Linked DNA regions of Xenopus tropicalis. Each later gene encodes a partner of the first gene's protein in a complex. Links are inferred from orthologs where the notes say so. Each region holds a gene or a part of one and is shown on either strand. Other genes may lie near its edges. The genes, in order: dlc1 and tns2.

The links.
Region 2: the proteins of dlc1 (region 1) and tns2 are in contact, whole or in part, in an NMR structure (PDB 2LOZ), measured with the Homo sapiens proteins. The link is inferred for Xenopus tropicalis from reciprocal best matches to the Homo sapiens genes DLC1 and TNS2. Residues at the interface, in NP_001335010.1 of Homo sapiens: Glu811, Asp812, His813, Lys814, Pro815, Gly816, Thr817, Phe818, Pro819, Ala821, Leu822, Thr823, Asn824; in NP_736610.2 of Homo sapiens: Asp1268, Leu1269, Leu1270, Arg1271, Gln1272, Gly1273, Ala1274, Ala1275, Cys1276, Lys1317, Ser1319, Ala1320, Gln1321, Thr1324, Leu1387, Asp1388, Pro1389, Asp1390, Gln1391, Val1403, Leu1404, Leu1405, Gly1406.

Annotation. Positions count from the first base shown.
Region 1 is NC_030677.2:41,038,576-41,042,400, forward strand, and holds part of dlc1 (rho GTPase-activating protein 7), read right to left. Parts: intron 2,259-3,825; coding exon 2,045-2,258; intron 1,174-2,044; coding exon 1,059-1,173; intron 708-1,058; coding exon 489-707; intron 1-488. UniProt on the Homo sapiens protein: Functions as a GTPase-activating protein for the small GTPases RHOA, RHOB, RHOC and CDC42, terminating their downstream signaling.
Region 2 is NC_030678.2:147,556,487-147,560,311, reverse strand, and holds part of tns2 (tensin-2), read left to right. Parts: coding exon 1-1,088; intron 1,089-3,189; coding exon 3,190-3,713; intron 3,714-3,825. UniProt on the Homo sapiens protein: Tyrosine-protein phosphatase which regulates cell motility, proliferation and muscle-response to insulin. Phosphatase activity is mediated by binding to phosphatidylinositol-3,4,5-triphosphate (PtdIns(3,4,5)P3) via the SH2 domain.

The DNA.
Region 1 (3,825 bases):
CATTTTTTCTTCCAGCAACCTAATGCCCCATGTAGCTTAGTAAGAGCATTAGAAGGTTCTTAAATGCAAAGCTTCCTCTGTGCCTGCCAAGGGCCTTATCAGTGTTATTGGGCCCCAAAAAAGCTAGGTGATCCAGTCAAAGCACAATACATTTTTTTTCTAGCTTCTGAAGTGCAATATGCTGTGAGATTAAAGAGCCATAAAAGGATGGATGATTACCCAGCCTGCTGTCTCATTTGGTCTTAATGCATATTTACTTGGGGTTAAAAAGTAACAAGAGAAAAGGACTTATTTATACAACAATCCGGATAAATTCATCTACATCAGAGATGTCCAACTTGCAGACCCCAAGCTGCAATGGGATGGGGGAGAATGGGAACTCATTGTGACAGGTTTACAACAGTCTGAGGACTGCAATTTCATTCTACATTGCCATGGTTTCCCCTGTCATGTAACTACAGCCCTGTGGCTTCCAAACATCAATTCACCTTTTTGTAAGAGAGATCTGCTTGCTCTGATGTCGAACAGTTGACCCAGCCTTTGAATTTGTCTTTAGCATCCTTGAGCAAGACGTCAATGTTCTCTTGAAGGTACGACTGATAGTCACACAGCCCCTCTGCATTGCCATTAACAAGCTCCTCCAGGCACACGGGTCTCAGGTCGTGCTCCATGTATGAATTACGGCACTTGCTCATTTCTTCAGGAATCTAGGGAATGAAAAAAAGAGCAAAATGTGAGATTTCAGATGAACAATAAACCAGTTGTTTTAGCGATTTACTGTATTTATAGCAAAGAATGGGTATTAACCGTTATGCGACATTGTTATTATTAGCAGTAAATCCAAATTAATTGACCGTGTCAATGCTGGGGAAATATGCAACATATGCTAGAACGAGCCTAATCCTGGAGGTTTAAACCATTACATAACTGGTGCTGGTACCATGAAAGGACTAAGACTTACAAGAAGTAATAAAATACGGAATAGCCCAGAGGCTGAGATCTAGGAAACATCGCAAAGCGCTTACACAAATGAGTGAACCACGTTAACACAATCTGACCTTGAAAAGTTTCTTGCACTCGGCAATCATGTGAGCCAAACCCTGAGTGGCAGCAAGGTTTTCATTCAGGTCCTTCTGATCAGGCTTTCCTAGACTCTGCTTTCTGTGCATAACCCTGGAGTAAAATGAGAACATAAGCAAAGGTTACACCGTGCAGGCCATGGCAGGTCTTATTCCTCGAACAAGCCAAATGCTACTTGGAAGTTATTCTATGGTAGGTGGGAGGTTCTTAAATGGCAGTTCATTTTGGGATTAACTTTTAGCCAATCTGGAAATGTTTGTATTTGTTCTTTTTTAAATGGTTGCTGGATCAGCTTAACGAGATCCAAATGTGATATCTTAAACTGAAATACTTTCTTATGGAAAGAGAATGAAAATATTGGATGAGGCATATGTCACTGCCACTCTCTGTTGAGTAGGATGGTCAACACCGTTTTATATGGATAACAGACTGCTTAAAGTGTTGGGTTTAACAGCTTTGAATCTGGATCTGGATAACAGACAAATATTCATTTATATTCCATGAGCTTCTTATGCTCCTTATTAGGGAGTATTTCAATGGCCTATGGAGTGCATAGTAGGGATGCACCGAATTAGGATTCGGTTTGGGTTTTGGCCTTTTTTAGCAGGATTCGGTCGAACCCATGCCCTTGACTGAACCTAATCCTTAAAATCATGTGACTTTTTGTTATATCACAGAAGTTGACATTTTTTCACCGCACGGCAAGTGTACGGTTCTCTTTAACCCTTCCTTTTTCTAATGTGCATAAGCAAATTAAGATTTGGATTTGGTTCTGTATTTGGCTGAATATTTCACAAAGGATTCAGGGTTTGTCTGGATCCTAAAATAGTGAATTCAGTGCACCCTAGTTCTGAACATGTAGAATATGGTAAATCAGACTACAGCAGATTGAACACTGACCAGCATTGATCTTTATTTACTGTTCTACAGTTCAAGCTCAGCATGCTACAACATGTCTAAGTACCTGGGAGAGGAGTTCTCTCTTTTCAAGGTGTTAAGGTGGAACAAGGAAGGAGCCAAGCAGACAGCGAGGTTGGTGGGGGTCATCTGGTTCTCATCTACAGCTGCTGCAACATCACTCAGGAAGTATAAAAGGGTTTGCAGGACTTCCCTGTTTTCATCAGGCAACAGCATAATGGCCGCCTTGATTGCCTGCAGGCGCTGCTCCTTGGGGACATCTGCGCAGAACAACAGACACCAGTCAGGAAACAAAAAAAATTAACAGTATAAAGTGTACACCAGTTCTCAGTGCAGGAATACCAAATTCTAAGATTTTTACTGTTGTGAATTCTTTGAGCCAGCCGAGGATGGTGAGAGTTTCACAGGTGGAAGACCACAGGCTTGATGTCCCCACTGGCCCTAATAAGTGCTTGTTGTGCCATACTACCTTGTCTACAGGGGCTGAGCTGCTCCTACTGTTTTAGTGTGTAAAAAAGTTTTTTTTTGATTCTTATCAAGAACCAAGTTTGTCATAATAAAGACCGATTGGGGGCCCAGGGCTATAGAAGATCCAAAAATGTTTTTAAGGGTTGCAAACCCTTCTACTTTGATCCGGAGAAGAAACGGAGAGGTAGGTATCGTACAAAAAATGCTTAAAGGGGTAGTTCACCTTAAATTAACTTTTATAATGATGTAGACGTTGATATTCGGAGGCAATTTGCAATTGGTCTTCATTTTTTATTTCTGATGGTTTTTCAGTTATTTAGCTTTTTGTTCAGCAGCTCTCCATTTGGTATTTTAGCAGCTATCTGGGTGCTAGGGTCTTATTTAACCTAGCACCCAGGCAGTGGTTTAAACAAGTGATGGGAATATGAATAGTAAAGGGCCTGCATAGAAAGATAAGTAATGCAAAGTAACAATAATAATAAAGTTGTAGAGCCCCATTTGCAAGCTGGGAAGAGGCAGAAGAGAAAGGCAAATAATTTAAAAACTATAAAAAAAATAAAATAATGAAAATCAATTGCAAAGTTGCTGGATGTCGGGCATTCTATACCATACTAGAAATTAACTTAAAAGGCAAACCACCCCTTTACTGTAAGTGGCTCATTAAAAATGATAGAATAAGCTCTTTACATTGCCCATACTGTTCAAATAGAGGTACAGTACCCCATTTAACATATACAAATAGAAGGGAACCATGGGAAGACAGATGGAAAAAAGTAAGAGAGGAAAGATCTTTGGCATTAAGGCCATCAGTCACAGGAGCTAAAGAGATTAACTGGAGAGCAAAGGAGAAAGCTCTGCTTCCCATACTTCACGTCTGTAAAGTAACTAATAGGCTTACTAATGCAAATACGTTCTTCTCTAAAGCATGAATAAGAATAAAATCATGGAAAAACGCCGGCCTCTGACAAATGCACGTGGAAACCTGAATCACTAGCTCTATGGTTACAGAGCACAACAGACACCTCTGGTTTCCATAAGCCTCAACATGGACATTGACCAGAACACTTCTGTTTTCAATAAGGGCTTTCAAGCCAATACTTTCAGGCCAAACAGCTTTAACAATAAACACTCTGTATCAATCAATAGCCAAAAATGTTTCAAGCACAAATTACATGATCCAGTGAAGCGCAATGACAAAAATAAGCACAGAGGGGAAAAAAAAAAAAAAAAAAAATAGATGGAGTACCAAGAGAGTTGAGAAGTATACTGTCAAACCAGTAATCCTGGACTTGAATGGCCCCCAATTAATGGAAGGCTGCAATACTACAGATCACCAGCTGTCTCGGCGACCATCACTTT
Region 2 (3,825 bases), on another chromosome or scaffold:
ATAAATACTTACTGCCATTCTGTGCAGACAAATAACCTTGTAAATGTGCAGAATCCCACCCTTCAGGGCCATAGTGTTATACAAACAAGTCCTACATCCCCTACACTCAGTCCAACTCTTCCAGGCCATAATCAGGGGCAAACAGACTCTACAGCCCTCAGATCAGCTCCATCTGTACACATACAGAATCTAGCTCCTCAAAGCCACAGTCAGGGGCAAACGTGTTCTACTTCCCCCACACAAAGCCTGTCTGTACATGTACAGAATCCAGTGCTTCGAAATCATAGTCAGGGGCAAATCTGTCCTACATCTCCCTCGCACAACCCAGCCATGAACACACAGAACGCAGCTTTTCAAAGTCAGCCTTTGGGTCAAACAAGCCCTGCATCCCCAACACACAGTCCATCTTCCCAAACAGGCCATACTGCACAGTTGTCCAGTCCGTCTGTGCAGTTAAATGGAAGTAGCCAACATATGAGTTTGGCTGTACAAGGGCATGGCCAGCTGCACTCACTGGATGAACGTGGACAAGCACAAGACAATGTGCCCACACACAGCCTGACATTTCCAACAAACAATCCAGTCAACACAAAGAGTTCACCTGACCAATCAGACATCTCCAACCATACACAAAACACAAGTAAAGAGGTACATAACACTGCACTGCCCTCTGAACCACAGACGGGCAACTGTGTAGCCAGGCAGATCACCAATTCATATCCACATTCTCCTAATCACACCCACATTTCAGAGGATCAGACACCTGTGACCACAGCATTTGCACTTACAGAAACAGATCGGCCTCAACAAAAAATGGTCCAATCTCACAGTTCTGTAAGTGTAAACAATTCATCAGTAAAGCCATATAGTACGGTCCATACCCAGAGTCAGCTGGTGCAGACAGACAATTCTATAGAGAGTCAAATCCCTCCAGTACAATTGCACCATCCTGTGCCTAAAGCAAGTCAAGCCCAATTACACAGCACTGTGCACACGCAGCTGTACAGAACCGTTGGTGGTCAGAGTCCATCGGTGCCGACCCAGAAACCTGTGCCTACGCATCCAAACAGCACTGTAGTTACTGAGAGGTGAGAATATATGTGGTACAGTTCTCTCTAGAAAGAAGAATGCTTAATGACCATTATGTAAGTCCATTATAAATGTCAGTAGTGCAATAGACAGGCAATAGCCAACCATATTGAGAAGTTAATTTAATGAAATAGGTTTTTTATTGTAAGTGTGGAATTAAATTATATAAAATTACATTTATTGGCTGAACTGTATTTTTGCCTTCATTTTCTGTTTACTGTGAATAAGCCTTATGTCTATAATATATATTACAGAGCTGATTTGCCAATATCACTAGGGTTTCTTGGAACACCCTCCTACCTTTCACATTTTGCAGTTGCCACCTCTCAGCTATGAATGATCTGCATTACTTCATGCAGCTAAATTAGTTTCTATATGTTATTCTTTTGGGCCAGTGCCGGCCATCTCTGGTCAGTGTTGGACTGCTGGTGGCTCCAAAGGAAAACATAAATAGGGCCACTCACTTTGACTTTTCTCTACTTGCCTTTTCAGTTGCAGCTAAAGTTGCACTAAATAAAGCATGTAAAGGCAGTACAGATGAGATAAAGCTGACTAAAACCAGTCTATAAATATGGTAGTGAAGATGCTAGAAGATAATACACATTTGTACACAGCAGGGCTGCCTATTTTGATTTAAGAGAAAAAATATTTTTGCAGCTTTCTCATCTTCCTTGTTATTAAGGAAAACTATACCTGGCAACAGTGTAGGTCTCTATAAAAATATATTGCATACAGCTCATGCTAGGCCCCATCAGCCAACTAATAGACAGTGTATAAGTTCTGCCTTTTGCTCCCACACTACTTCCTGTTACAGTCAGAGCGGCATTATTCCCTGTCAGCTGATCTCTGAGGGAGCACACAGCCCATCACTAAATGGCGGCTCAAGGGAAAGGATGTAAAAGGGCAATATTTACTGTTATATATATTGCAGTTTGGTAAAGTTCTTTAATAGGCTCCTTAATATGATATTAACTATCTGTTGGTTAAGTGTTCATTGTGGGGGTATAGTTTTCCTTTAGGGCAAGGGCACACTGGCATATTATCAGCCTGTGGATAAGTCTAGGCTGACAATACATCTGTGCGCTTAAAAAATTATTTTAGATTTGGCAGTTGTTGGCAGATATCACATACCTGCAACCAGGTGGATTCAATGCTACTGGGTGCAGGCACAATAATAAGATTTTTGTAAGCGTACGGGAGCCTGCGCTTATCCGCAAGCTGACAATATGCCAGTGTGCCCTTGCCCTTAAGCACAATCTCATACTTTTTATTGCTCTGCTTTCCCCTGCTTTATGTTTCTTTAAGCTTCAAGTTTCCTCAATGTAGTATCCCATAATGCTGTTTGTCTATGCCAGTGTTTTTCAACCTTTTTTGGGCAAAGGCACACTTGTTTCATGAAAAAAATCACGAGGCACACCACCATTAAAAAATTTAACTCTGTGCCTATATTGACTATATATAAAGTAATTCTCTTGAATAGGAATCAAATAAACACAAAGAAAGTATTTTCCGGGACATTTTCTCCACAAACCCACCCCCCCCACTGATTTTTTATTTTTTTTTTATACACACAAAAATTTTATATATATATTATTATTAATTGTTTTCTTACATGTCAGGCTGCGGCATCCAGGGGTGTCCCAGGATTGTCCTCCGGTGGGGAGTAGGGCGGCTGTGCATGGGCCTGGCCCCTGGTGGATCTGGTCTGTCGGGGCAGGGCCTGGGCAGTTGCTCCCCCCGGTCGGGTTGTGCCAGGGCAGGATAGTGCTGCCTCTCCTCTCTGGTTGCTCCGCCCTCCTGGATCCGATGCCGGATGACGTCACAGGCAGTGACGATTTCCGGGCATCATGGAGCCAGGAAGTGGAAGGTGTCCCAGAGGGGACCGGGGGAGTCTTGTCTTCACCTACGGCACACCAGGCAACATCTCAACACTAGTGTGCCGCGGAACAGCGGTTGAAAAACGCTGGTCTATGCAAATAACAATGAATGAAGGAAGAGTAGATGCACAGTAGTAAATACTGAATGAATATGTTGCTTTAAGTGGCCTTTACAAATATTTGGAATTTTCTGACAAGAGAATATGTTATTTCTTACTTACAGGCCTGGGTTACCAGCAACTCATGTGAATGCTCCCCCCTGTGCAAATGAAGCAAATACATTATTGCCAACTTCTTCCTCCCAGTCACATGTAACTAAGTTTGTCCTGCCAGTAACATCAGAGGCTAAAAGGAGTCACACCACATTTGGGCCTGCTATCTCATCTCCCAGTGGTACAACTGCTTTTGGGTCAGGTTACTGTTCTCAGAGTTTTTCTGTGCCGAAGCACACCGTTCTACTCCAGAAGAGAAGTGTCACTATATCATTGCCAGTCAGCCCTGTAAATCCCCAAGGAAAAGAAGCACCGACCAGCCCACCAAAATCCCCAATGGGAAGTCAAAGTGATCTCCTGCCTCCTTCTCCTACTCCTTCATTCCCTATTAGAACTGCCTATTATTCCAGCAGTCCATGCCCACCTAGTATTCAGCCACCACGACTGCCAGAAAAAAATCACTCTCCAGCTGACGGGGCAAAAGTGGATCCCAATGGACTGTCTGAGTGCAACAAAGGCCATTCATCACCAGTGGGTTGGTATTTTGTACATTGATAAGTGACATATTCTTGTTGAACAAGATAGAAGCACATGGGTAATTAGATTACATTGAGACAGATGTAATATCCTGTGATGTTTAAACACCA